Cricetulus griseus: one gene and its partners. The protein of the gene in region 1 interacts with the protein of each later gene in a pairwise test. Links are inferred from orthologs where the notes say so. Each region holds a gene or a part of one and is shown in the gene's direction. Other genes may lie near its edges.

Evidence for each region.
Region 2: the proteins of Pin1 (region 1) and Abi2 interact in binary tests that used the Homo sapiens proteins (3 or more experiments, as listed by UniProt). The link is inferred for Cricetulus griseus from reciprocal best matches to the Homo sapiens genes PIN1 and ABI2.
Region 3: the proteins of Pin1 (region 1) and Rai1 interact in binary tests that used the Homo sapiens proteins (3 or more experiments, as listed by UniProt). The two-hybrid records come from large-scale screens. The link is inferred for Cricetulus griseus from reciprocal best matches to the Homo sapiens genes PIN1 and RAI1.
Region 4: the proteins of Pin1 (region 1) and Znf446 interact in binary tests that used the Homo sapiens proteins (3 or more experiments, as listed by UniProt). The two-hybrid records come from large-scale screens. The link is inferred for Cricetulus griseus from reciprocal best matches to the Homo sapiens genes PIN1 and ZNF446.
Region 5: the proteins of Pin1 (region 1) and Amot interact in binary tests that used the Homo sapiens proteins (3 or more experiments, as listed by UniProt). The two-hybrid records come from large-scale screens. The link is inferred for Cricetulus griseus from reciprocal best matches to the Homo sapiens genes PIN1 and AMOT.
Region 6: the proteins of Pin1 (region 1) and Homez interact in binary tests that used the Homo sapiens proteins (3 or more experiments, as listed by UniProt). The two-hybrid records come from large-scale screens. The link is inferred for Cricetulus griseus from reciprocal best matches to the Homo sapiens genes PIN1 and HOMEZ.
Region 7: the proteins of Pin1 (region 1) and Zmiz2 interact in binary tests that used the Homo sapiens proteins (3 or more experiments, as listed by UniProt). The two-hybrid records come from large-scale screens. The link is inferred for Cricetulus griseus from reciprocal best matches to the Homo sapiens genes PIN1 and ZMIZ2.

Annotation. Positions count from the first base shown.
Region 1 is NC_048597.1:133,533,980-133,538,407, forward strand, and holds the start of Pin1 (peptidyl-prolyl cis-trans isomerase NIMA-interacting 1), read left to right. Parts: upstream 1-1,531; 5' UTR 1,532-1,610; coding exon 1,611-1,668; intron 1,669-4,428. UniProt on the Homo sapiens protein: Peptidyl-prolyl cis/trans isomerase (PPIase) that binds to and isomerizes specific phosphorylated Ser/Thr-Pro (pSer/Thr-Pro) motifs.
Region 2 is NC_048595.1:414,686,208-414,689,944, forward strand, and holds part of Abi2 (abl interactor 2), read left to right. Parts: intron 1-1,541; coding exon 1,542-1,688; intron 1,689-2,364; coding exon 2,365-2,489; intron 2,490-3,737. UniProt on the Homo sapiens protein: Regulator of actin cytoskeleton dynamics underlying cell motility and adhesion. Functions as a component of the WAVE complex, which activates actin nucleating machinery Arp2/3 to drive lamellipodia formation.
Region 3 is NC_048600.1:74,323,015-74,326,751, forward strand, and holds part of Rai1 (retinoic acid-induced protein 1), read left to right. Parts: coding exon 1-982; intron 983-3,737. UniProt on the Homo sapiens protein: Transcriptional regulator of the circadian clock components: CLOCK, BMAL1, BMAL2, PER1/3, CRY1/2, NR1D1/2 and RORA/C. Positively regulates the transcriptional activity of CLOCK a core component of the circadian clock.
Region 4 is NC_048602.1:25,556,378-25,560,629, forward strand, and holds the start of Znf446 (zinc finger protein 446), read left to right. Parts: upstream 1-1,262; 5' UTR 1,263-1,580; intron 1,581-1,765; exon of another isoform or gene 1,766-1,914; intron 1,915-1,921; exon of another isoform or gene 1,922-2,229; intron 2,230-2,360; 5' UTR 2,361-2,400; coding exon 2,401-2,742; intron 2,743-2,816; coding exon 2,817-3,021; intron 3,022-3,300; coding exon 3,301-3,395; intron 3,396-4,252. UniProt on the Homo sapiens protein: May be involved in transcriptional regulation.
Region 5 is NC_048604.1:35,485,605-35,489,341, forward strand, and holds part of Amot (angiomotin), read left to right. Parts: intron 1-806; coding exon 807-1,039; intron 1,040-2,077; coding exon 2,078-2,893; intron 2,894-3,183; coding exon 3,184-3,281; 3' UTR 3,282-3,737.
Region 6 is NW_023276807.1:210,071,417-210,075,931, reverse strand, and holds the start of Homez (homeobox and leucine zipper protein Homez), read left to right. Parts: upstream 1-1,523; 5' UTR 1,524-1,697; coding exon 1,698-1,704; exon of another isoform or gene 1,705-4,001; intron 4,002-4,515. Other genes in the region: protein phosphatase 1 regulatory subunit 3E, read left to right, coding at 599-1,015, 1,101-1,523. UniProt on the Homo sapiens protein: May function as a transcriptional regulator.
Region 7 is NW_023276807.1:98,474,776-98,478,512, reverse strand, and holds part of Zmiz2 (zinc finger MIZ domain-containing protein 2), read left to right. Parts: intron 1-480; coding exon 481-625; intron 626-699; coding exon 700-910; intron 911-1,659; coding exon 1,660-1,765; intron 1,766-1,998; coding exon 1,999-2,156; intron 2,157-3,453; coding exon 3,454-3,521; intron 3,522-3,737. UniProt on the Homo sapiens protein: Increases ligand-dependent transcriptional activity of AR and other nuclear hormone receptors.

The DNA of each region.
Region 1 (4,428 bases):
ACCTTTGAGCCATCTCTCCAGCCCAGTGTAATAGCTTTTTAAAGTCACTTTTTGGTTTTTAGAGACAGGGTTTCTATGTGTAACCCTGGCTGTCCTGGAATTCCCTCTGTAGACTGGGCTGGCTTCAAACTGAGAGATCCTATTGCCTCTGCCTCCCAAGTGCTAGGATTAAAGGTGTGTGCTGCTATTACTGGCATAAAGCAACATTTGTAAAGTGTTATGCTTTGCCTGCATGTATACATGAATGTGCACCATGTGCAGACCTGGTGAACTGAAAAGGTCCTCTGCAAGAGCAGTCCAGGCTCTTTTTTGGTTTTCGAGACAGGGTTTCTCTGTGGCTTTGGAGGCTGACTTGGAACAGCTCTTGTAGACCAGGCTGGTCTCAAACTCAGAGATCCGCCTGCCTGCCTCTGCCTCCTGAGTGCTGGGATTAAAGGCGTGCGCCACCAACGCCCGGCTCAGTCTGTGCTCTTAATCACTGAGCCATCTCTGTAGCCCTCCGCAGACCTTTTTCCTTCTCTCCTTTTTCTTGGGGGGGGGAGGGTTGTTGCTTTTGTTTCATTTGAGACAGGGTTTCTGTGTATAGCCCTGGCTGTCCTGGAACTCATTTCATAGACCAGGCTGGCCTCTGCCTCCTGAGTGCTGGGAATGCACCACCACATCAGTTTCCTCCACAGACTATCAATTGACTTAAGCCTATTCCTTTTCTTCATCCTAGTGATAATGCCATCGCCCAGCCCAGGAACCTAGGAAGGAGTCAGGCAGAGAAGGAATAAGTTGAAGTAGGTTCTAAAGAAAACTTGGAAAGTGGGTAAAATGATTAGCCTTGGGGCTGTAGAGATGGCTCAGAGGATAAGAGCATTGCCTGCTCTTCCAGAGGTCCTGAGTTCAATTCCCAGCAACCACATGGTGGCTCACAACCATCTGCAATGAGATCTGGTGCCCTCTCTAACCTGCAGGTCTACATGTAGGCAGAACACTGTATACATAATAAATAAATCTTTAAAAAGAAGAAAGAAAGAAATGATTAGCCTTGCAAAACCCAAAAAGGACTGGCGTCGCTTTGGAGGAAACAGGTGGGAAGAGAACCAAAAAGCCAAATTTAGGCTTTGGGCACTTGGCTTCTTATCACCAAGGCAACTGAATTGCTATGGCAACGGCAAAATACAGCAAAAGTACCGAATACCTCCCTACCAGCGAGCCGCTTCCGCGTGGAGGCTGGCCGACCTCCAAGAACGGCTCAATAAGGCGGGATTGGTTGCCGCAGGAGCCAATCAATAAGCTCTACTCTGCGGGCTAAGCCCACCAAGAAGGTTGCAGAGACCTTTTGACGCTTAAAGGAATCCTGAGCGTTCAATGGGCGACGCTTCCAGGTGGGCCAATCAGCGGCGGTGTCGGGACGGGGGGGCGGAGAGTGTGCAGGGGCGGTCCAGGAAGCCGCGAGTGAGCCCAATAAAATGCTAGCGCTCTAGCGGCGCCGTGGGGCCGTCCAACGGGCGTCTGAGCCGGGCGAGCCAATCGACAGTGGCGCTGGGCCGGCGCGGGGTCACAGCTGCGGAGGCGGAGCGGGGCGGAGCGGAGGCGGGGCGGGCGCTGCGGCAGGAGGGAAGATGGCGGACGAGGAGAAGCTGCCGCCGGGCTGGGAGAAGCGCATGAGTCGTAGCTCAGGTACGTCTTGGGGGTCGGCCAGGGACCGGGCCGGGCCGGGCCGGGCCCTCGCGAGATTGCAGAAGGCGGGCCCGAGCTCACGAGGACAGGCGCCCTGCCTTAGGCGTGAAGGTCTGGGCTCCGCGGCGTAACGGGCCCGGAGAGCCAGAGACCGAGGCAAGAGGTGGGGCGGGCACGGGCACGCCGGCCCGTCGCTCACCACCGGGCCGGACGTCCTCAGGACACTAGGCTGCACCGCGGGGCTCCTTTGGGAGGAGGAGACCCGACCCGGTGCCTCTAGAGGGCGTGGGCCGCCCTGATTTGGGTTCTGGGGCAGCATCTGTGACACGTGCCGGCTCATCTCCAGCACGGGATCCTGCGACAGCGCTGGCTTAAAGGAGCTCAAGTTCGTTCACAAGTCTGTACGTCCCCCACCCTCCCTAGATCCCTTCATCTCCGTCCTGCCCCCCCCTCCTCTCTCCCTCCCTCTTTCCTTGGCTCATCCTCTCCCTTTCCCGGTCTCCCCTCTCTCTCTCCCGTTTCTCTGTCGTGCCCGTCTTTCAAGGGATGGTTTGCTCTCATTTTTCTAGTGAGGGAACTGAAGCCAGGACACGCAAAGAACTCGCCAAATGATGCAGTTCAGGGACTGGGAATGCAGTGAGTTCCTACCGCCAGAGTCCCCTTGCCAGTGTCAGTGGCAACGCCCTGAGGAGCGGATAGGCATCTCCGGTAGAACCAGGGTCCTGCTGCCTACAGAGCTCACTTATTCTTATTGAGCACCAGGGTGCTGGACACTGTATACATTAGCTCTCTCTGAATTAACGCGGCTAGGTTTAATGTGTCTTTCACCCTTTTGTTTGGGAGGGGGAGGTGAAAGGGTGTTAGACTGGATCTCACGTGGACAGGTTGCTAGATCCTCCTGCTTTAGCCCTTCAAATGTTGGGATTATAAGCATGCACCACTTTGCCCAATGTATTTATTGAGACAGAATCTTTATTAGTAATATTAGTAGTAGTATATTTTGTGTGTATGCTTGTGGAGATCAGACAATAACTTTTGCAGGAGGTTTTTTTTTCTTTCTTTCACCATGAGAGTACCTGAGATCAAACTCACATCCTCAGACGTGGCTGCAAACACATTTACCCACAGCTATTTTCTTTCTTTTTTCTTTTTAAATTTGAGAGGGGGGGGGAGAAGACTAGTCTTGAACTTGCTTTCTTGAACCTCTGGTCCCCACCCTCACCTTTCTGAGTGCTGGGATTACTATCACACACTAAGATAAAAGTCTTGCTGTGTAACCAAAGCTGGCTTCTAACTCATGGTTCTTCTGCTTCAGCCTCTCAAGCACTGAGACTACACTCATGTGCCACCATGCCTAGTTCTGATGTCCTTATTCTCTTGCCCCAGTTTTTCAGATGAGAAAGCTGAGGTTCAGGGAGATGGCCTATTGTATTTAGCCCTAGAGTCCTTGCTCCTATCCAGGCTGCTCCATTCCTGGCCTAAGCATAAACATACTTCTAGGTGGGTGTGGTAGCACGTAGATAAATTTCCAGTACCTAAGAGGCAGAAGCAGGAGGTTCTCCAGTTCATAGTTATCCTGAGCTACATAGACTTTTGTTTTGTTTTTGTTTTTTGAGACAGGGTTTCTCTGTGGCTTTGGAGGCTGTCCTGGAACTGACTCTTGTAGACCAGGCTGGTTTTGAACTCACAGAGATCCACCTGCCTCTGCCTCCCGAGTGCTGGGAAAGACCTGAGCTGCCACCACCCAGCCATCCGGCCCTTCTTGATGCTGAGTCACCTATGTAACCCAGAAAGACTCTAAGCCCTTGGAGTGACCCAGAATCTACTGGGTCCTTCTTTCAAGCTCCTGCCATGTCCCTCACTGCCCCTCCTCTTTCCTCCTTCACTATTTTTTTCCTGTTTTTTTTTTTTTAATTTTTTAAAATTTAAATTAGAAACAAGATTGTTTTATATGTCAATCCCTGGTCCCTCTCCCTCCCCTCCTCCCCTGCCCCCTTTTCCTGTTTTTTGTTTGTTTGTTTGTTTTTTGAGACAGGGTTTCTCTGTTTAGCCCTGGCTGTCCTGAACTTACTCTATAGACCAGGCCAGTCTTGAACTCAAAGGTCCCCTTGCCTCTGCAGCCCAAGTGCTTGGATTAAAGGTGTGTGTCAACACTGCTTGGCTAGCCTCGAATTTGTGATCCTCCTGCCTCCACCTCCTTCAGCAAATCCTACATGTGTATACCACCACAACCAGGTCTCCTTCACGTTTTTTTGAGACAGTCTTGCAAACTTACCCAGACTGGCTTCAAACAGCAGACACCTATCCTCTTGCCTCAGCCTCCCTAGTTCTAGACTGTGCCCCATCAAGCCAGGCTTTTCCCTTAAGCTTTTGAGTTACCTTCTTTATGCTCCTCACTGTCACCTAGATGTCCCTTAGATGACATCAACCCCCCCAGTAATGCTGCTTTCTTGCTCTTCAATTTAGGCCACCAGGGTAAGGATTAAGAATAAAGTTTTGGGCCTGGCAGTGGTGGCGTGCGACCTTAATCCCAGCACTCCGGAGGCAAAGGCAGGTGGATCTCTGAGTTTGAGGCCAGCCTGGTCTACAGAGCGAGTTCCGGGGCAGCCAGAGCTACACAGAGAAACCCTGTCTTGAACCCCCCCTCCTTTGAGGTATCTGCCTCTGTCTGTGCACAAGATATAGCTGCTGCTGTGAGCAGAGGTGGGAGGTGAAGCCTGGTTTGTTTGCAGTGGAGCGATGGATAGAAACCGCCATACT
Region 2 (3,737 bases), on another chromosome or scaffold:
AATTTTCTGATATATATGCATACATAGATTTATATATGTATTGTAATTTCAAATATGCTTGAATTTTTAAAAATATTTCCTTTTGACATAGCACATATAGTGTCTTTTACTTATTTTGAATTGTTAATTGTTTTGTTTATTAATTTTTTGTTTGTTTTTCTTTTTAGTTTTTCAAGACAGGGTTTCTCTGTGTAGCTTTGGAGCCTGTCCAGGAACTTGCTTTGTAGACCAGGTTGGCCTTGAACTCACAGAGATCTGCCTGCTTCTGTCTCCCAGTGCTGGGGTTAAAGGCATGTGCCAAAAACAGCGCTCGGCCTGTTAATTGTTTATTGAGCAATACCCAAGGAAAGCAGAGGCAACAGTGCCTTTGAAAATAATCTCATTTGTTCGGTAGAGGCACAGCCCTTTAATTCCAGCACTCGGGAGGGAGAGGCAGGTGGATCTCTGTGATTTTGAGAAGAGAGTTCCAGAGTTCTAGGGCCACCAACGGGTTCAAAGTCAGTGAAAGTGAGTGGCCAGGAAAGCAGTACTTAAAGAAACTCTGGAAACCTGGTTGGGAGTGAAATACTGAGAGATACAAGAGCCACATGAGCAGCATTCTCTTGCAAGAGAAGAAAACTTTCAAATTTTCATATCTTGGGATGTCAGATTCTTTTAAAGACCTAATCTCAACTGCAAGATGTCATTGTCCCTGAAGGATTTGGCCCCTTGAGAACAAGACTTGAATGAGTGCCAGGCAGTGCTCCGGGCAGCACTTTATAGCCTGTTGTTTCTTTTCTTTGTTTTTTCATTTTCTTTCTTTGGAAGGAAAATTTGGAAAAAGGGAAACAACTTGTTAGTAACATTGTCTGGTTTGGGTTTTACAGTTTAACTAAGATAGAAGGACATAGGTAGTCTTTTAAAATTTCCTATCAATGTTGACCTCTGAGGAGGAAATAGCAAAGAAATTGAGGTGAAGTTGAAGGAGAAAGGTTGTAAAAGTGGAAAATGAAGTGAAGTTATGTATTTTGAAGTACCAACGTCTTTAATTTCTGTGTGTTTAGTGTATAAAAAGGGGAATGAGTTATGGCTGGTATTAATCATCATGTGGAGGTTGTGACTCCAAAAACATAGATTTGTCATCTGTATTAATATTAATAAATATCTTTGGTTAGGGAGAGAGAGGAGAAGAAGATAATTAGTGCATTCACTCAGTACATTTGGGAGATTTTGACATGAATCTAAAATAATTCAAATTCTTCTATGAAAAGAGTAGATCTAGAAAACATTGGCTTAAATAATGGAAACTTTGTGTTTTCTGTGAATAAATGAACAAAATTACATTAGCACAGGTAAATGAGGTTGGACACTGAAATTTACACTACATATTCACCAGAACTCTCTGTAATGGTGGAAGAGTTGTACTGTAGGAAAGACTAATTGATAGCTGGGTTAAACCACATTTCCTATTTCTGCTTACAAGTTGTATTTCACTGGCAACTCTGAATTTACTGTGCCGAAACTTGATTAATCACACAATACATACGCTCTTCTTTTTGTAGGCGGCACTCCCCCTATCGCACACTGGAGCCAGTGCGTCCTCCAGTGGTACCAAATGATTACGTACCTAGCCCAACCCGTAATATGGCTCCCTCGCAGCAGAGCCCTGTGAGGACAGCTTCTGTGAATCAAAGAAATCGAACTTACAGGTATTTTCTCTACCTCAGCGCAAAACATGATGGTCAGAGTACCATAATCTGTTGAGATAACTTCAGTTAAATCTAAACCTCTCTCATTTTCCAAGCACTAAGTTCTTTTTCTCACTCTACTCTCCCAAACCTCATCTGATTCTTCTTCTCTCTCCTCATGCTCTGATGCAACTTTGAGCAGTCAGGAAGGTGAAAAAGACATCTTAAAGTAGAAACTTACCAACAGAGATAAAACTTAATTAAAAAATGTTACTAACCAGGAATGAAAATTGCAAGTAATTTTTTTGGTGGAAATTTACAGATGAAAAACTATCCATATTAAAATGTTAGTATATCACCATGCCATTACAAACTGAAATAAAATAATCTAGTAAAACTTACTATAAGTTTCTTCGATAGGTATTAAACCAGGATATAAAATATTATTTTAATGTATTAAGCATGAACAATTTGCCCTTACATTTACAGAGGGTTTTTTAAAAATTTATTAGATCTCATAATTAGGTATCAAAACAAGTTCAGTGAACTCAGATTTTTCTCCTTATTTATTAAGAATTCATGTTTGAAATGGAAGCTTTTTGAATTTTATTTCTTGTGGCAATGTCCATTTCAGAAGTACATGGCAATCCTGATCTCCTGTTCTCTATACTCACTTTGGTGGCTCTTACTTCTTCAGCAGCAGTGGGAGTAGTGGAGGAAGCCACCCAAGTAGTCGGAGCAGCAGTCGGGAGAACAGTGGAAGTGGGAGTGTGGGCGTTCCTATCGCTGTTCCTACTCCATCTCCTCCCAGCGTCTTCCCAGGTAAAGCATTAGTGATCATTTATTTTGTTTTCTTTTGTCAATTTGAATTCAGTTTGTCATTGAATTAGAGAGAGTTTTCTTGTATGTGTGTGCACATGCACCCACCATGAGTATGTTTCTGGCTATTGAGTCTAGAGTCTCCTACAGATGGCTTTTCCTCTTAATAAAGATTTTAAATATTCCCTTAGCACTCCATAAGTATTAGGAAGTCTGCATACATTTGTTATTTCTGTCCAGTGATCTTAATTGTTCTGCTGTCTCTTTGCTTGTCTGTCACTTTTATGTCTTTAGTGTTAGTTCATTTGGTGCCTTGAAGTTTCATATTCATTATGGGATGAGTTCCTTTTTTGGTTTCAGTTAGTATTGCAACAGTACATTTCCTTGGAAATAGTGAGGACATGGTTTGAGGATCATTTTGGTAACAAAGGATGAGAGATGTAAATTTAAAGGAGTATTGTAATTCAGTAGTTACTGAAAAACTATTTCCCCTCCTCCCTGAAACAGAAAAATATAGTTGTTTGATTTGAAAACACAGAGATTGAATTTAGTTTTAAAAGCATGAACACAAAAACATCAAGATAGTGGCTGCAGGGATGACAGTTCATTGATTAAGAGCCCTTACTACTCTTGTAGAAAGACCCAGGTTTGGTTTCAGCACCCACTGTGACTCTGGCTCCAGGTGACCCAACACTGTCTTCTGGCCTCTGTACACCTACATGTAGATGGCACATGTAAAGTCTTTTAGGCTTACACATGTGTAAATAAAAATCTTTATTAAAACCTAGCAGAATGAGCTGGGTATGTTGGCGCATGCCTTTAGCCCAGTACTCAGGAGGCAGAGGCAGAGGCAGAGGCAGAGGAGATAGGTATCAGAGTTTAAGGCCAGCCTTGTCTACAGAGCAAGTTCCAGGACAGCCAGGCTTCACAGGGAAACCCTGTTTTGGGAACCTCCCCCCCCCAAAAAAAAATAATCCCCCACAAACTCCAAACCCAGCAAGATAGAATATCACATAGTAGGTAGTGGTGCATGCCTGGAATCTAGCATGCATAGGCTGAGCCAGGAGACTCTAGGAACCAATGGGTTAGGTAGCAAGAATTTTGTCTTCAAAAAACAAAACAGTGTATTTAATTACAGTAATGCAAATAGACAATATCTTTTTACAAAAATCATGAAAAATTTTGTGAATTTTTAGTTGTTTTTTTAACTAATAAGATATTATCTGGAATATGTGTCTTTTTTTGACTCAT
Region 3 (3,737 bases), on another chromosome or scaffold:
TAGCAGCTATTCAAAGCGGAAGCGCCTCAGCCGTGGCCGGGCTAAGACCACCCATGCTTCACCCTGTAAGGGACGTGCCACCCGGAGACGGCAGCAGCAGGTACTGCCCCTGGATCCTGCAGAGCCTGAAATCCGACTCAAATACATTTCCTCTTGTAAACGGCTGAGGGCAGACAGCCGCACCCCAGCCTTCTCGCCCTTTGTGCGGGTGGAGAAGCGAGACGCATACACCACCATTTGCACTGTTGTCAACTCCCCAGGGGATGAGCCCAAGCCTCACTGGAAGCCATCCTCCTCTGCTGCCTCCTCCTCCTCCTTAGAACCAGCTGGGGCCTCTCTGACCGCGTTCCCTGGAGGCCCTGTGCTGCAGCCCAGGCCCTCCCTGCCCCTCTCCTCCACCATGCATCTGGGGCCTGTGGTATCCAAGGCCCTAAGTACCTCTTGCCTTGTCTGCTGCCTCTGCCAAAACCCGGCCAACTTCAAGGACCTTGGGGACCTCTGTGGCCCCTACTACCCTGAACACTGCCTCCCCAAAAAGAAACCAAAACTCAAGGAGAAGGTGCGGCTGGAGGGCACCTTTGAGGAGGCCTCTCTGCCTCTTGAGAGAACATTGAAAGGCCTGGAATGTGCAGCCAGCACCATCACCACCATCACCACCACCACAACCCTGGGGAGGCTGTCCAGGCCTGATGGCCCAGCTGACCCCGCCAAGCAGGGCTCCCTGCGCACCAGTGCCCGGGGCCTGTCGCGGCGGCTGCAGAGTTGCTATTGCTGTGATGGTCAGGGGGACGGGGGTGAGGAGGTGGCCCCAGCTGACAAGAGCCGTAAACATGAATGCAGCAAAGAGGCCCCTGCAGAGCCTGGTGGGGACACCCAGGAACACTGGGTACATGAGGCCTGTGCTGTGTGGACCAGCGGGGTGTACCTGGTGGCCGGGAAGCTCTTTGGGCTGCAGGAGGCCATGAAGGTAGCTGTGGACATGGTAAGAAGCTAGACCAGCTGGGGTAGGGGATGGGATTTTGAAGTACTGACAGGCTGGCTTTAGTGAGGGTCACTTGGGCCCATAGCCAAAGAGTAGCCAGTCCCTTGAGGGAGTGTGGAGGCAAGTTGAAGTAATCCAGGGGCTACAGCAGGACACGTTTATCCATCCTGCCCCAGGGGATACGCCACAGTTCTATGTTCCGCTGGGCCAGTCTTCTCACATACACTGCCCCAAACCAGAGCTACTGGGTCCTGGCAAGACAGGACCCTTCCTGGGTTGAATGTCAAGATGGCCTGGTCTCCCCTGAACTGGGACTTAGGGGATAGCTCCTAAACAACATGTGGCTAAAGCATGGGACACTGGTTCTGGACAACCCTGGGTTACCTGGCCACAGAAGCCCCGAAGCTCAACCCTCCCGTTCTAAGTCATCCTTTCAGAAAACTTTGGACTGCGCAGGCACAGCCTCTACCCTTGTTCCTTCCTCGCGTGGGCAAGGCCACACAGCACCTAGCCTTGATCTTGAGGGGTCTATCTGGGATCACAGGTCTAGGATGAAGAGAGCATTCTGAGCTCTGGCTGCCTTTAAGGTTCCTCAGACCAAAGGGGACGGACAGAGACAACTCGAGAGGCCATGCTCCCCTGAAGCTTCGGCCCCAGGGCAGCAGAGCCACTTGTGCCCCTGCATTCGTGTCTTGGGCAGCCAGGCTGCAAGGCTCATTCCTCTCTCTGCACTGTCCTTAGTGGGTGTTCGTACCAGCTATCGATTTCCGTCTCCCTCCCCCTCAGTCCACTGTGGGCATCTGAGTTCAGAGGACTCTGACTGCCAGCGAACTCCCTCCTCTTCATACTTCACTGCCCCAGCTCCTCAGAAGCACTCTGTCCAGGCCCCATCCTTGACCTCGGGGACCACTGTGGATGCTGCCCTTGGCTCCAGGCTTCAGGCATCTCCTGCCCATGGTGATGGCTGTAGACTTTCTGGGCCCCATTGTCTGCCCATCATGCTGAGAAGGGCCTGAGACAAGACAGCACAGCTTTCAGTACCTCAGCCAGTTCATGCAGCAGGCAGGCACCAAACCCCCATCTTCCTACTAGCTCCTTTGAACTAAGTCTTCACAGCTACCTTGAAATAGTCTTGTCTCCCGTTCATTAGAAAATAACAAGCTTGGTGGCAGGAGAGATGGCTCAGTGGTTAAGGGAATTGGCTGTTCTTCCAGAGGACCAGGGTTCAATTCCCAGCACCCACATGGCAGCTCACAACTGCCTGTAGCTCCAGTCCCAGGGGATCTGGTATCATTACACAGACATACATGCAGGCAAAACACTAATGCACATAAAAAGAAAAGAAAAGCCTGGAACCTTGATACCTGATACAAGTCCAGAGAGATACCTGATACCCTTCATTACCCAGGGCTTATTTGAGGGGCAGGGCTGAGACTCAGTCATCTGGTCTCCAACCCCCAGCCCTGGGCTCACATAAACAGGCTGCAGCATTGATGAGTGCAGGTAAGGGCCTTCCATGGCCTAGTCTGGCCCTGTGCCTTGGGCCTCCTGTTGGCCATGCTGGTGCACACACAACATCCTGTTGAGCTGAGGAGGGTCATGGGGTCACAACTGGAGCTGGAGCTGCTCACAGGGAAGGCCAGGAGAGGCTCTCATTGGACAAGGATTGGCTGCATATTGAAGTCTCCTCCCTGCTAGAGGTAGGCCTGGCTGGCTCATGACTGGCAGCTGGGGCCTGCTGCAAGGCTGTAACCCCACAGTCGCCCCCCACCCCCATCCCCACCCCCACCCCCGGGCAGAGTACACTGGGGGATAGGCTAGGGGGTTCCAGGTTTCCTGGAACATGACCTGCAGGGTCATAGTTCAGCCCATTGCTTTCTGCTTCAGTGGCTCGTTGGCACTGCTTTCTCCAGGGACCAGCCAGACCCTGGTTCAAATCTAACTTTAGGAAGCCCTGTGTCCAGAATGCCCAGGAAGCCCAGAATGCCAGCTCCCACCCATTGCATTGGCCAGCCTTTGGTCTTCCTATCCTCCACAGTTCCTACTATATTTCAGCCTGTCATGCCCACCTTCCAGGTCTTTAGCCACCCGGGCTGCCCACATCCTCGATCTGTCATCGTGCACACTGTTTCCTGACTAGACAGGGTATTGCATTTCAGGGAACTGGGGCTGATCACACCCTAGGAGACCAGCGGCCTCTGGATGTGGGTGACATGGTTGATCGGCTATGCCCCCCAGCAAGGGAACTGGGGCCAAGAACAAGTCTTCATCCTTCCGTGCCTTAGTCTCTCCATATTTGTAATGAACAGTCTTGCCTCAGGATTGCTTGGGACTATCTACCACAAGGGGGCCATAGTTAGCCTCACAGTACTCCCAAGGGCCACTGTGAGTGAGACTTAGTCTATTTTGGGGTTTCCACTATGCTTCCTCTTCCCTTAGTGGCTTAAGAAGTGGGCCTAGGGCTCTAGGTCCTTGGGAGGCTCATCCAGACACTGCGTGGATGTCTTCCTCTTGCTGACCCACCCCACTGGCTACTCCAGCTACAGAGTGCTTGGGTAGAAACCACCCTACCAGGGTAGCCTGGATCAGCTGTGTTGTGGCTCTGGGTCTACCTGGATCTTTGAGCTGATGGGTTGTTCCCAGCTCTCTTTTCTCTGACCTTGGGAAGACGGTGCTATGCTGGGACTAGCAGCAATGCCTGGCACCAAATGCACTGTTAACTAAAGTGCTTGGCCTCTGAGCCTTCTGTGTCCTC
Region 4 (4,252 bases), on another chromosome or scaffold:
TAGAACAGAGATGCTTCCAGGGACAGCTGCTTCCAAGAGGACAGCTGCCTGGGAAGTCCCTTAAAGCCCAGCCTCTCCCCACTGGGTGGGTATGAGAGCTTTGTCCACAGAATCTATGAAAGACCTCATCTCCCAAGATAGTTCAGCTGGTAAACCCAGTTGACAAACTCTACCCGCACAACTGCTCAAGAGTTTCAGATGTGGAGAACTGCTGCTCACTGCTAGCTGCTGGCAGCCGAGGAGGGGGTTCTCAGGAATCAGAAAAAAAAACAAACAAACAAACAAAACAAAACAGAATAGACAGATCCGCTTCAGGACTGAATGATTCTATCATGGTTCAGACTCTTGGTATGTGGAAACAAAATTAACCTCATGTGCACATAAATTTAATAGCCCTTACTTGCTGTGTGTGGTGGTTCAGACCTTTAATCTCAGCAATCAGGAGGCAGAGGCTGCAGGATCTCTCGGTGAGCTCCAGGCCACCTGGGGACTTGAGACCCTACCCCCCCCAAACAAACAAATAAAAGCCATTAACTTTATTTTTTTAACAATTTAACTTTGTTTTTAAATGTGCGTTGGTGTGAAGGCATCAGATCCCCAGAACTGGAGTTACAGACAGTTGTGAGCTGCCATGTGGGTGCTGGGAATTGAACTCTGGTCCTCTGGAAGAGCAGCTAATGTTGTTAACCTCTGAGCCATCTCTCCAGCCCCTCACCTCACCCCATTAACTTTATTTTTAAAAAGCCTTTTTCCCAAAAGACTTTGGAGAGGGAAAAAAAAATGAGTAAGGGCCACCTTGTCTAACTGCAGCCTCCAAATTAAAAGTTGAGTGTGTCTCATAATCTCAGACAGAACCCTCCATCTCCATTTGCAGTAGTACCGCTATCTAAAGAGGGGGTGACCACATGGTCACCTCCTCTGAACGCCTGCTCGCCCACCCATGGGCCTATTTACTTAACGGACTATAACAAAGGCCATACTGGGTGTGCTCGCCCAACGCTGCCTCCCACCGGGATCCTCTGGAACTCGCACCTAGGTCTTCTCGGCCGGCCGCAAGGCCACGCTTACAGCGTTGCTTTGGCAACCGCAGAGGTGCGCTCGCTGTTACCTAGGAGACACACGGAGCGATGCTCCCTTCTCGTAGCTGAGCGCCCGGCTCTAATTGGGCAGAACGCCTCACCAGCCAATAGGAGCCAGGCGCGCTGCACACATGCGCAAGGAGGCTACGGTCCCGCAGCCCGGGTCCGCAGTGGGTGAGTCCTTCGGCTGGGGTGCCAAGGAAGAACGGGTCGCCAAGTCAGGAGAGGGAGCCCCGTCCACCACCACCACCCCCGGAACTCTGCGACACCGCGGGCTCCAAAGGAGAGGAACGGAACGAAGCCGCTGGCGCGCGAGGGGCCCGAGAAACGCGCGCTCCCCCTTGCTGAGGCTCACGGGAGATGTAGTCCGCGCGGAGGGGGCCGTGCCTGTGGGGCCGGTGCAGGATTGGCCAGGCCGGTAGTGAGTGGCGGTGGGGCGAGCGGTGTAGCCTCCCTTCCCGGAAGTGCCCCGAGCTCCTGGGGCGCCAGGAGGCGTCAGAGGTGAGCGAGCTGCTCGACTGGGCGGGCCCAGCTTCTCGTGGCTCCCCCCCCCCCCGAGCTCGAGGAGCGCCCCACTGCCCCCAGCCTTCGAACCCAGAACTCCGGGGGTCCCCTTCCTCCTGAAAGACCCTCCCTCTCCTTTGCTGTGTCAGAAACTGACACCCACCCCACCCCCAACTCTACAGGTGCCCCAGGAGAGCCGGTTTCAACCCAGAACCTCTTAAGGACTGGGACACAGGTTCCAGTTTACATGTCCACGTGATGCACGGCTGTCTGCTTTGGCTTCTGCTTGGGCGTTTCCTAGGCGTAGTGTGAGGCACCCACGGTTTTGTCGGTGAGCAGTGTCACCAAGCTCATATAGGCCCCTGGGAGTTGGCCCAGGCTTTCAGCACTGTCCCGGGTGATGTACCCAGACCCCAGAGCCAACTCTTCAGATAGACCAACACGATCTGCTTTCTGACTGAAGCCTCCAGGGCTCCAGGTCGCCCTGAAGGATGGTCCTACCTGTGCCCCCCTGATCCTTTGTCGGCTGGGGGAGCCACGGTAGTCCTCTGTTGGTAGTCCCAAAGGTTTGGGCCAGCCATGGAAGTTTCCTAGAAGGCCCTTGGACACCTTCCACCCAGGCATTTATCATCCATGCACCCTCCAGGTTGGGACCTGCACCTCCCGTTTCCTTCCTCGAAGCGCTCCTGGCCTTGGGGTTCTCTTTCCTGGCTTCTAGGAGGGGTCTGGTGTGTGCTTTTGGCCTTAGATGACACTCTGGTTCCTCCTTTCCTGTAGGTCCCTCCTGACAGCTCCAAAAAGACCCTTCAAAACAAGAATGCCAGCTCCTCTAGGTCCCCCACACCTCTCCCTCGGGGACTCCGAGACCACCATTGAGGAGCCTGAGGCTGCGCGACTCAGATTCCGGGGTTTCTGCTATGAGGAGGTAGAGGGGCCCCGAGAGGCCCTGTCCTGCCTTCGCGACTTGTGTCACCAATGGCTGCAACCTGAGTCATGCTCCAAAGAGCAGATGATAGAGTTGCTGGTTTTGGAGCAGTTCCTTGGCGTGTTGCCCCCTGAGATCCAGGCCTGGGTGCGAGGGCAGCGACCAGGAAGCCCTGAGGAGGCTGCAGCCCTGGTTGAGGGGCTGCAGCTTGATCCTGGGCAGCTGCTGGGCTGGGTGAGTGTAAATGGCATTAGCTGCTCAGGAGGACAGACTGAAGGTAGAGCCCCCCGTGACAGGCTTCTCTTCAGATCACAGCCCACATCCTGAAACCAAAGACGCTGCTTACAGTCCAGCGGACAAAGGAATCTTCCGGGAGCCGCAGCGTCTCAGTAGCAACGGAGTCCTCCGAGGCAGGCCCTTCGGAGGAAGTACCACAGGGTTCCAGCCTAGACAGATCTACCCAGATCCACTTGGTTGTGAAGGAGGAAGCCAGCGCCGATGGACAGGAGACGGGTAGGTGAGGGGTGACAACATCAGAATTTCAAATCTCTGTGTGTGGGTGTGGGGTGGGGGATGTGGTATCCTAGGAGGGGTTGTGTCGGGGGCTGGGACTCCTGAAATAAGTCTGCATGTCCCCAGCTGGGAGAGGGACCCTGGAGAGATTACAAAGGTGGATTCCTATGAAGCAACAAGACAAGACTGACCTCGCACCATGCCACATGGCAGAGGCAAGCCAAGGCCAATGCAGTCACCACAGCTTGATGCTCCTTCCCGTCTCCTTGTCTTTCTCAGTATCCCCAAGCCCCCTCCTTCCAGCCCAGGCCCCTGAGGGACATCTTGGACACCAGGAAGCAGCCTCCACATCCTCCCACCCAGGAAGGATCCAGGTAAGCAGCCTACAGCAGGAAAAGCAGGCCATGGGTGTATATGGGGTGTCTCTGTTGGTTGTATTCCCACCCTGTGGTTTGGTAGGGTCCTCTGCCAGTGACTCGTGTGTTTGTGCTTTTTGTTTTTACTATTCCTGAGTAGTAAATAACTTCCCTTCCAGCAGGTTCTAAGGGCTGAAGACTAGACTGGTAGGTCTCTCATTGGAAAAGATTTAGGCCTGGTCCAGAGTGGCTAGAGCTGGTGGCCATGGCTTCCTCACCCCAGAGAGGCTAGTTACTGGAAAGGCTTGTTATACCTTGAGGTCATGGGCCAGCTGTTATGTGTGCGGGCGGAGAGGAGACTGCCACGGCAGGGTTCCTGCATCCCTGAGAGCAAATCAAGACACTCTCCCTGAGTATGCCTCAAGTCCCTTCTACTGCCCTTGTCAAAGGACAGTGACCTGGAACCTTAGTTTAAAGCCCCTGCTACCTGAGCGTGCATAGTTGACGTGGAGGGGTAGGGATCCTATCCTCTTCAGGGTCTTTCTGTCCCTGGGCCCCTCCACTTGGGAGCCCCCTACCTCAATAGAGGGTCTAGTTAAGGTGTGCTTCAAGGTTAAGAAACCCCTCTAGGATGTCTCTCTGGTGCCCTCACTTCTGGTCAGCATCGCCTCTAGATTTAGCTGTCTGTGGCTTCCAATTCCCTCTTTTCCAGATTGTCCTTGGCTTGTCCTTCGGGGTTACTTTTTCCCAACCTGCCAAAGACCTGTATGGCAGATCTTAGAGCAAGGAAGAAGGTAGACCTTGCCGGGCTGTGTTGGTGCATGCCTTTAATCCCCCAGCACTCGGGAGGCAGAGACAGGCGGATCTCTGTGAGT
Region 5 (3,737 bases), on another chromosome or scaffold:
GGATTTGATGTGATGACTTTTCTAGAACGTTCTTACTAACAAAGCAGTTCCCAGTAGGGTTGCTTTCCCCTGGATTTTGTATTCTGCTAGATCTGAGTTTTTAGCGTTCCTACTCTGAGGTATTCTTCATAGCACCGCAGCTCAATTCTGTAATGCAGCTGACTTCACGACATCTGTTCACACTGGGAAATACAGCATCCAATGTCTTCTTCTTTTTTTTAAAGACTTTATTTATTTATTATGTATACAACATTCTGCTTCCATGTATATCTGCACACCAGAAGAGGATACCAGATCCCATAATGGATGTTTGTGAGCCACCATGTGGTTGCTGAGAATTGAACTCAGGACCTCTGGAGGAGCAGTCAGTGCTCTTAACCTCTGAGCCATCTCTCCAGCCCACCCAATGTCTTCTTTAGACTCAGTGTCATTTACTTGTTACCTGGAGGTCATGTCTTAGTAGAAGACTCCATCTTATCACTGAACTTCCTGTTACTATGGAAGAGCTCCTTCAACAAAGCGTGACATCTTTCCTATATAGCCTTTCTGTTTGCCAATATTTGACTTGGATTTTCTGATGTGTCAGCAGAAGCTCTTAGACGTTCTCTTGCATCTACTTGGCAGTCCAGGGGATGCAATATTTTTTTTTCTTTAAAGCTCTAACATATGGATCCTTCTTCCCTCCAACTCAGAATAAACTGGACCAAGACCTAATTGAAAAGATAAAGGGAATGCAAATCCATTTAGGCAGTGAGATCAGAATGCAGAGGTAACTTTCTGTGTGTGCTTTCTTTTGGGCTTTTTAGGATTAAGAGCCTCCATGCCCAGATTATTGAGAAGGACGCCATGATCAAAGTGCTGCAGCAGCGCTCCAGAAAGGAGCCAAGTAAGACAGAGCAGCTGTCATCCATGAGACCAGCGAAGTCTCTGATGTCCATTTCCAATGCTGGATCAGGCCTGCTCGCCCACTCATCTACCCTGACTGGTACCCCCATCATGGAGGAGAAGCGAGATGACAAAAGCTGGAAGGGGAGCCTAGGTAATGAAAATAAGAACAAATAAGGGACGCGCACAGTGACAGACTTAGAGAGAGGGTGCCCTGCCTGTGTCACACGCAGCAAGGGAAAGAGACAACGATTCTGGTTCTAGAGAGAATTTGGGGTTACTTTTTTCCCTGATGGAACTAGTTGAATGGCCAGGAGCCCTGAAGTCTCATGGTAAGAATATTAACTGAGGCCAAAAATGAGAATCCTGAGTTCTTTGGGGATGGGAAGGAAGATAGCTTGAATTTTATGTGCAAAATTCTCAGATTTGGCTTTTGCCACATGGGAACTTTGTTCAAAAATCAAATGGACTTCATCTCAGGCAAAATTCAAAATTACAGCCTCACTGTGTTCCTTCCTTCCTCCCCTACAGAAAGAGGACCCAAAGTTCTCTTTAAGCTAATGAGGTGAGGTGGCAGTGTTCTGATATGGGAACAGAATGTGCTTTTTCTTTAATTCCTGCCCATTTCACCCCCTCTAATTAAAGCCTCAGAGGCCCATAGATATTGAGACACATTTTTGAAACCGAGGAAGCAACCAAATATATATTTCAACCCTTTTGTCTTTAATGCCTTTCTTGGTCCTCTGCCTCTTGCAGTATCCTTTAGTTAGAGTAAACATTCTGGAAGCCACTGTCATGTTTAATTCTGTAGTTACACAACTAAAAGCACTCATGGATATCCACAGGTACCCATACCCCGGGGTTATTTCCACCTCTCTAGTAATGTAGGGTATTAATATTACTGGAACACAAAAGAACTCTGACATGTTGATCTGCTATCGTCCCCAATTGGGGGAGGGGGAGATATCTATCAGGTACCAAGGACAGGGTTAATATGTTGTATTAAGAACTGGAAAATGAAGAGAAGAAGGGATCCTCTAAGTTCAAAACCAACACTAGAGGCAAAACCAAACACTTTTCAAAGAAAAATGTCAAGTATTTTCTCTTCCTGAATTCCGACAAGGGTGAATAGTTAATCAGTATCTAGATAGGAAATCACCTACTTTTCTCTTGTCCCTTGCTTCTTTGGCAGGCATTCTTCTGGGTGGAGACTACCGTGCTGAGTCTGTCCCATCCACGCCTTCGCCAGTGCCTCCATCTACTCCCCTGCTCTCGGCTCACTCGAAGACGGGCAGTCGAGACTGCAGCACCCAAACCGAACGTGGCTCTGAACCCTCCAAAACCGCAGCTGTCACTCCCATCTCTATCCCGGTGGCTGTTCCAGCTGCTGCTGCTGCCACTGCTGCTGCCATCACTGCAACTGCTGCCACCAACACTGCCACTGCTGCCACCAACACCACTATCATGGTAGCTGCTGCTCCAGTTCCTGTTGCTGCTGCTGCCCCAGCTCCGGCAAATGCTGCTGCTCTTGCTGCTGCTGTCTCTCCAGCTGCTGCTGTCTCTCCAGCTATTGCGGTCTCTCCAGCTGCTGCTGTCTCTCCAGCTGTTGCTGTCTCTCCAGCTGCTGCTGTCTCTCCAGCTGCTGCTGTCCAGAGTCCAGCTGCTTCATCTCTTACTTCTGCTACTGTTTCTCCCACTCCTCCTGCTGCTACTGCTGCTGCTGCTGCAGCTGCTGCTGCTGCTGCTGCCACTGCTACTGCTGTTCAGGTTGCTCCAGCTGCTTCGGCTCCAGTTCCAGCTCCCGCTCCGATTCCGGCTCCAGCAACGGCTCAGTCTTCTGCTCCGACTCCGACTCAAGCATCAACTCCAGCTCCGACAGCAGCTCCTACTCCAGCTCCAACTCCAACTCCAGCTTTGGCTCAGGCTGAGGGTCCTGCAAGTCCAGGTACCGGTTCTGGACCTCGCCGTTTGTCCACACCAAATCTGATGTGCAACCCAGACAAGCCAGGTAATTCCAATTTTTCGTAGCAGGTATCTTCTGGTTGGTGCCTGCCATTTTGATAGAGTTGAATGTTTCCTGATGTAATAGGGATTGGGCAGAGGAGAGAAAAGAAGAACTTCTGGAAAGGTTTTCTCCCATTCACTAAAATGGAAATGGTCATGAGTGGCCATTTTCCCAGTGAAGTAGATGATGGGGATGTACCTGGTTGCACTTTTTGAAGGTTTTTGTTGTTGTTTTGTTTTGTTTTTTTAAAAAAACTATCTCTAATACTTCTGTACCCTCTCATTTCCATTTAGATGTTCCTGTTTTCCACTGCAGTACTCTGGAAAGAAAAGCACCCATTCAGATCCTGGGTCAAGAACCTGACGCAGAGATGGTGGAATATCTCATCTAAATGGCACAATCAAGAGCTGAAGTTATCAGCAAGAGCTCTTTTAACCACTTTTTCCCTTTTGTTTGTTTAATCTGGGGTGATGATGGGGTTGGGAGGTGGGGGTGATTTTTTAAAGGGACTTTTTAATTGGACTCTTGTAGTACTTAATACCATGAGAATTCCAGTCTATTTTGGAATACGTAGGGAGTACCTCAAAATGATAGGTTAAGCAGAATGTGCTCTAAAGCTTACTGGTTGGATTGATACAAATCATGGACTATTAACAGGTAGTGATGTCCACTGATTTAAGATGTTTCCATTTGTTTTTTAAGCGCCCAATTTGAGGTCATTTTTCATTGAAGACTACAGTATGTGTGGAAGGCAGTTTGGAACACGTAGTTCAGAAATGGAAATCCAGAGAGAGTTTGAGGCCTTGCTGCTTTGTCTAGCTTCTACCTAGACAACAGCCACAGAAAG
Region 6 (4,515 bases), on another chromosome or scaffold:
TCGGAAGACTTAACCTAGGATTCGCGGCCTTTCTTTTCACTACGCCCATCTTCACCTCTATCCCAAACCTGTAGCCTGGGTTTAAGAAAACACTGAGCTCTGGGGAAGAGAATTAGCCTCTCGGCATTTTGAACTTTCCATGCAAGAAAATGAAGGATTACTCTTTCCTCCCCGCTTTAACCCTTCTCATACTGGAGTTACTCATTTGGGACCCCGAGGGTGGAGTCAGTCCCGCCCCCTGGTGCAGCAGGGAAGATAGATGCCGAGCCACCTGTCAGAGGGCTGTGGGCGGGGGCCGGGTCAGCGAGGCCCGCAGAACCGAAGGGAGAGCGCCGTTGAGCGCACGCTCAGAGCAGACAGCGGGAAGCCGGCAGGACCGACAGTCTTAGAAGACAGTGGGGTTGACCGCCAAAGGCAGGGAAAGGTGGTCAAGGAAACCCGCCAGGCCAAGAACGCGAGGTGACAGCAAGAAGGCGAGTCCAGGGCTAGCAGCTGCCGAAGCAGCCTTCCGCCCTATGCGCGGACGCGGAGCGGGTGGCCGAGTGAGGACGCGCCGGGCGGGCACTGTGCGCCGGCCCCGCTGGGGCGCAGGGGTGCCATGTCCCGCGAGCGGCCTCCGCGCACCGACATCCCTCGCAACCTGAGCTTTATAGCAGCGCTGACCGAACGTGCCTACTACCGCAGCCAGCGGCCCAGCCTCGAGGAGGAGTCGGAGGAGGAGCCGGGGGAGGGCGGGACCCGGCCCGGCGCCCGCTCGCGGGCTCACGTTCCGGGTCGGGGGCGCAGGGCCCGCTCTGCGCCCGCAGGTGGCGGCGGGGCGCGGGCAGCCCGCAGCCGCAGCCCTGACACTCGCAAGAGAGTGCGTTTCGCTGACGCGCTGGGGCTAGAGCTGGTCGTGGTCCGCCGCTTCCGCCCGGGGGAGCCGCCCCGGGTGCCCCGCCACGTGCAGGTGCAACTGCAGAGGGACGCCCTGCGCCACTTCGCGCCGTGCCCGCCGCGCGCCCGCGGCCTCCAGGTAGGCGCCCCGCCCCCGTCCCCGGGACCTCGGCCTCCGCGCTCCAAGCCCTCCTCTGACCCGCCTCCCCGCCCTCTCTCCTCAGGAGGCGCGCGTGGCCCTGGAGCCCGCCCTGGAGCCCGGCTTCGCCGCCCGCCTGCAGGCGCAGCGCATCTGCCTGGAGCGCGCCGACGCGGGCCCGCTGGGCGTGGCCGGGAGCGCGCGCGTGCTGGACCTGGCCTACGAGAAGCGCGTGAGCGTGCGCTGGAGCGCGGACGGCTGGCGCAGCCTGCGGGAGTCGCCCGCCGCCTACGCCGGCCCTGCCCCGGCCCCGCCGCGGGCTGACCGCTTCTCCTTCCGCCTGCCGGCGCCTCCGGTCGGCGGCGCCCTGCTCTTCGCCCTGCGCTACCGCGTGACCGGCCGCGAGTTCTGGGACAACAACGGTGGCCGGGACTACGCGCTGCTTGGGCCCGAGCACCCTGGTGGTGCCGGAGCCGCGGAGCCCCAGGGCTGGATCCATTTTATTTGAACTAGGCTCCTGCTGGCCACAGCAGGGACAAAACAGTGGCACCCAGGCGTGGGGGGAGACTGTGGCGCCAGGAACCCGGGAACCACAATTGGCAGATGGGTGGAGGGCGGTCCCAGAGAGTCAAGTCGAGGTGGCTGGAAACCGTCTGTGAAACTCAAGAGATTAGGGTGGAAAATGGCAGGTAGGTGTAAGCGGAAGGAACTCGAGATAAGAGGCCCAGAAGGGCTCTGGAAAGTGAAGCCTCCTTGGGCTAGGAAGCCCAGTGAAGTCATTCGGTTTGCTTCCCTCTCACTGGCCCTACCACCTCAGGTCCCCGTGCCCTGCCCACCCTAGCTTTATCTGAGCCGAAATTGCCTTGCTTAACCCCAGGAATTTGACCATTGCCCCTGGGCCCTGGCAGTGTGACAGCATTCCCTTGACTCTCAGCAGTTCCTGGCTTCAGTCTTCAAGGAAACATGGGAGAGAGTCCTTCAGCCACGGGGCGAGCCTTGGTGGCATCTGCAGATGGTGGCAAAACCAACTCCAAGCCTGCCCTTGTAGTCAAATAATGGGGCATCTAAGGGGTTTGCATAATCAGGCTTCCAGAAAAATGAATGCCAGCCTTACTTTTCTGGGTGCCTCTTAAAACCTTGAAGCACTTTGTGGACTGTCTGCGGAGGGACAGTGAATCATGAAAATCACTACTGATTTATTCTTTGTGCCTCTGAAAGAAGAGGAAACCACCAAGTATCTGTATGATTGAGCAGGTTATTTTATCTTTTTGGACTCCAGGTTCCTCTGTGAGAAATTGGATTTGAGTTAGGTGGTCCCTTAAGGTTCCTTTTTTTTTTTTTTTCTGGACAGGGTCTCTAGCCCAGGGTCTCCTGCCCTAGCCCCTGCTGTGCTGGGGTTATTGGTGTGAGCCACTATGTTTTTAGGGCTACATTTTGGTGTCTCATGATCTGTTCATGGCACAGTATAGGTTAGAAACTGTATTCTCCAATCTAGTGCTACAATTAAAGCCCACAGGGCAAGCCAGGTGTTGTGACACACACAGGGAGACTGTTGAGTTTGAGGCCAGCCAGCTAATATGATTGATTATTTAATCTATCCTGGGCTACATGAGACTGTCTCAGAAAATTAAAAGCAGCAGCAAGGCTTACCTAGCACAGTGAGTCTGTGGTTGGAGATGAGGATAGTCTCCCCCACACACACACCACTTTTTGGGAGTGGGGCACAGATGATCCAGGATACAGCCCATAAGCAGCCCATAGCCTCAGTGTGTTCCACGCCACAGCTCACCCTGTGCCATTTGCTCTTAACTTCCACAGACTTAGAGCCCCAGTCCCGTGAGAAAACGGAGACCAGTATTACTGTTAGGGAAAGTGATGCATGGTAGCCCCAGAATGGAACAGTTGGAACTCTGGAGGTCATGGGTATAAGAAATAGAAAACAAAAAATGAAGGCAGAGGTGACAGTTTGATCCATATCCAAGTCAATGAAATGGAGAACCTGGAGCCTAATGCAATGCCCACATTCACACCTCATGCCCTTCCTAGGGAGGCTCCAGGTGAGAGTTGGGTTTTGCTGGTTGTTTTTCCTTTCCTTGTCTTTCCCTTTCCCTTCTTTCTTTTTTAAGATTTATTCATTTATTGTGTATGCAGTGTTCTGCCTGCATGTTTGCTTACAGGCCAGAAGAGGTCACCAGATCTCATTACAGATGGTTGTGAGCCACCATGTAGTTGCTGGGAATTGAACTCGGGACCTCTGGAAGAGCAGCCAGTGCTCTTAACCTCTGAGCCATCTCTCCAGCCCCCTCACTTGTTTCTTTGAACATGTAGGACTTTTGCCTTTATTTCCACTCTTCACCCTTGTTGGTCTCTACGGGGCATCCCCTTTCCCTTGAGAAATCCCTGTCCACAGCCAGTTTCTCACTCCACCTCTTCCCTGCCAGGTACCCACACATCATTCAGAATTCAGTTTGGGGCTTGTCCCTTTGCCCCTGCAGTCATTCATCAAACATTCACATCTAAGCATCTTCTGACCTTGTACAGAAAACAGTTTGATGTTTCCTGGGGATCACCTTCAGGTTCAGCAAAGTCGCAGGAGGCACTGTACTGGAAACCACCAAACTCTGGTCACTCTCTAATCTTCAACAAGGAACCCAGGGAGACTGGGTGGAGGTTCCATTGTGGTGGCATCATTCCTAGTGTGTGTGTGTGTGTGTGTGTGTGTGTGTGTGTGTGTGTGTGTGTGACTGTTACTTCTTAACAGATCCTATTTAACTTGTGTGCTAAATGTGTGACATGCATGTTTAAAACAGCACTGTGACTTGAGCATTATCTCTTTTAGAAATAAGTCCAGACTCAGTAATTTGTTCAAGAGTATGGGATTGTGAGCCCAGGAGGTTCCCATAGTCTGTGTGGGTAATCATGGTGGTATGTATTTTTCTTTGATTAAGAACAAAATTAAAAACTTTGCTATATATCCTCTATCATAGGGAAAGACCATCATTCATTATGCTGTGCCTTCCTGTCCTCCAAGGGGCCCAGACTTTTACCCCACCTTCTCCTGTGCCAGCATTCCAGTTCTACAGGGTCAGAAAGGCACTAGCCCATGAGCCTGCTAGAGAACTCGGGAACCAATGTAAATGCCAGCTTTCCATACACTGGGTTCTCTCCTGGCTCTGGCCAACCCGCTATACCACCTGGCGTGGCATCTTTCCTTCCTCTCCCTCCATTATCCTTGACTAGGTACATTATTTATTTAGGTTTTTTGAGACAGGGTTTCTCTGTGTCTTGGAGCCTGTCCTAGAACTCGCTCTGTAGTCCAGGCTCTGTAGTCTAGGCTGGCCTCAAACTCAGAGATCCCCCTGCCTGCTGGGACTAAAGACATGTACCACCACTGCCCAGATTTTTTTTTTTCTTGCATGACCAGGTAAACTCTGATGTTCCTTGAGAAAGGTTCCTGGCTTAGGACAACTGCTAGGTGGTCTTTGCTGGGCTTCCTCTCT
Region 7 (3,737 bases), on another chromosome or scaffold:
TAGCAGGCCCTCTCGTTTCCCTTAATGGCCCTGTCTAGCTCTCATGGAGGCTGTGGATATTCTGTCCAGAAAAATGTCTGTTCACCCAAAATGGCCCTCAGATATCCATCCTTGGCTATGAATGCCTGCAGGGAGATTCCTGCAGAAGCAGCTAAGATACTAAAACTTCAAGTTGAACCATAAGAGGATGGCAGGTGGCCCAGTCGGGATGTGCTTCCTAGGTTGGAAGCATGTCCTGTGACTATTCACAATGTGGTCCAGACTGCTGAATGACCAAGACAGGATAGAACACAGACCGTGGGCCCAAGTTCTGAGGAGAGACACTAACTGGAGCACCCATGTGTGGGTGTCTCAGCCCTCTTGAGAGTTTCTGGCAAGTGTTGGGTTAGGGTTTGGGGCTCTATGTGCAGAAGTGTTCCTTGAGGGCCAAGATTCCTTGGAAGGGTACCAAACTCATGGCCCGCATACTTCTGCCCTCAGGAAGTGGCCCTTGTGATGAGCTGCGCCTGACCTTCCCAGTTCGAGATGGGGTGGTCCTGGAGCCCTTCCGACTGCAGCACAACCTGGCTGTGAGCAACCATGTCTTCCAGCTCCGAGACTCTGTCTACAAGACCCTGATGCTGAGGTGAGTCCTGCTACCATCCTGCCCCTGGGTCCTGCCTGCACCATGTGGGCTCCTGTTATCCTCTTCCCTGCCAGGCCTGACCTGGAGCTGCAGTTCAAATGCTACCATCATGAGGACCGGCAGATGAACACCAACTGGCCAGCATCCGTGCAGGTCAGCGTCAACGCCACACCCCTCAGCATCGAGCGTGGAGACAATAAGACCTCACACAAGCCCCTCTACCTGAAGCACGTGTGCCAGCCAGGTCGAAACACCATCCAGATCACCGTTACCGCCTGCTGCTGCGTGGGTAGCCTGTGGGGCTGTGGGTAGTGTCTGCCAGGGTTCAGGCTGGGGCCAGCAGAGGCACACCCAGACCAGCAGCTCTCCTGTGGGTTTGGCAGCTTGTGGGGGAGGGTCTTTATCCTTGAAGAACAAGGTGCTGCTTCTGTTTCTATTTTAATTTGTCCTGCCTTTTCAGAAAAGAGAGGCAGTTAAATCCACTCTGTTTTCCAGTTAGATTCCATTGGACAGATTTAATGCTCATGTTAATTATGTCAGAGAGCAAGCACAGGAAGCTCATGGGAGATGTGCCACCTGCACTGGCCTGGGCCTCACGAGGTTCTGGTGGGTAGGATCCCAACTAGACCTTGAGCTGCAGGCTATCAGGAGCCACCCTGACATGATGGAGGGGCCTGGAGATAGGAAGGCTCAGATATCAAGTCATGTCAGGAGAGTGGATGTGATAAGCAGGGGACTGTGCCAGGGACTTGAGGTGATTGTGGTTTGACAGAGGAGAAAACTAGACAGTGGTTGGAGCAAAGTGCCCTGCAGAGCATGAGGTAGTGCAGTGTGGCTGAAGCTCATAGTCCCTGCCTGCCTGCCTGTGTGTCAGCACTCAGGAGGACCTAGCTGCTAGGAAGGTGGCTGGCCTGGCTTCCTTCCATGCTAACCCCAGCCCTCCCTGCCTGGTACCCCTTGAATTAACTTCTAACCCTATGTTACATTCTCCAGCCCTCCCCACTCTCCATATAACATCCCTCACTCTGTTGCAGTCCCACCTCTTCGTGCTGCAACTGGTGCACCGTCCATCTGTCCGCTCTGTGCTGCAGGGCCTCCTCAAGAAGCGCCTCTTGCCTGCTGAGCACTGCATCACCAAGAGTGAGTGGTCCCTACTCCTCAGCCATCTGGGTTGTCCCAGGCTGAACCCCACCTTGTGGCACAGAGGCCATTTCCTCTCAGACAGGTGGCTCTGGCCAAGGGGCATTGGTTACCTCCAGGCAACTCTTAAGAGACATTGATTGAGCAATGACTGGGTCCCTGGTTGGTGCACCAGTTCACAGCCTCAGAATGTTGGAGACCTTTACTCAAGTCCTTTCCCCTGTCAATGTCAGTAAAGCGGAACTTCAGTAGCGGCACCATCCCTGGCACCCCTGGGCCCAATGGAGAGGATGGGGTGGAGCAGACGGCTATCAAGGTGTCCCTGAAGTGCCCCATCACCTTCCGCAGGATCCAGCTCCCAGCCCGTGGTCACGACTGTCGCCACATACAGGTTTGTGGTCCCTGTAGACCTTTGTTGCCCTTAAAATGCTTTGAGTTTATGGAGCACCCAGAAGACTGACTCAGTATTGAGTGGAATCTAAACTAGAAACTGAGAAAACTTCTTAGTAGCATTAAAAAGAAAACACATGATCCACAAGAAGGGTTCTACTTCCAGCATTTATGCAACTAAAACATATACAGTAATGTCCATAGCTGTAACCAGTAATCACTTTAGATTGCTGGTAAAACATGTTTACCAGCAACTTAGAGAAATGTTTTGTGCCTGGTATCATAATACACACCTGTAATTCCAGAGCCCCAGGGGCTGAGGCCAAGTCTCCGATACATAGTGAGAATCTGTCTGACATTTTTTTCCCCTTGAGATAGGGTCTCATGTAGCCCAGGCAGGCCTCAGACTCACTATGTAGCTGAGAATGACCCTGAATTCCTGATCTTCCTGTCTCCACTTGCCAAGCTCCCAGGCAGACACCACTGCACTCAAGTATTGGAAAAAGGCATGTTTGGTGCTGACCCTTCAGCCTTACCCTCTTTGGCAGATGGAATCTGAGCACCTCAGCTCCTCAGACCAAAAAGGCAGACCCTCCACAGGGGCATGGCCTCCTTGCTTCCTTCCCTGAGATTATTAGTCTTGCTCCTTTGAAACAGCCATAATTTTTCCTATAAAGTATGACTGTTTGTGACATGTAGCCCTGACTGTCCTGGAAAACTCTTTTATGTAGATCAGGCTGGCCTCAAACAGAGATCTACCTGCCTTTGTCTCCCAAATGCTGGGACTAAAGGCATGCACCACCACACCCACTACAGTTTTCCCTATATTTTGCTGGTTACTGTATTCATGGGGTTCCATTTTTAAAAGGCATAAGGATATGGGTGCAGCCTTCTTCCTGCCTACCTTTAGAATTGCAGTCTACAGAAATAGCCAGTGTTAGCCAAGTACCTGCATGCTCTTTTGTCCTGAAAGCAACCTCTTTTTTTTTGGAGGTGGTGCTGGGGGTTGAACTTAGAGTTTCATGCATGCTAGACAGGCACTCTGCCACTGAACAACTTTTAACAACTGTCGTAGCTGGGCGGTGATGGAGCACACCTTTAATCCCAGCACTCAGGAGGCAGAGGCAGGCTGATCTCTGTGAGTTCCAGGCCAGTCTGGTCTACAAAAGATGCTGCCGTAGAAACCTGATACCTTAAAAATATATACCCAAACAAGGCAAACTTTCCAGAAGACATTCTGAACAGCCCTCTCCACTGACTTATGGTGAGGAATGACCTGTCTCTCTATCTCTCTGCAGTGCTTTGACCTGGAGTCATATTTACAGCTCAACTGTGAGCGGGGGACCTGGAGGTGCCCCGTGTGCAAGTGAGTCAGTCTCGTGTATGATGAGGGGAGAACTGCCGATTCCTTAGAGGGTGGAATTTGAAGTAGCATCGGAAGTGTTCCCTAGCACAAACCAGAGTAGCCCATCTCAGGGCAGAAACCTCCTACTAGGTGACTTTGCAAGCATCTCCTTACGCTGGATTACCCTAATGGTTTATTCAGGGTCACTTGACACATGATGCCATGAGCAGTTGATGC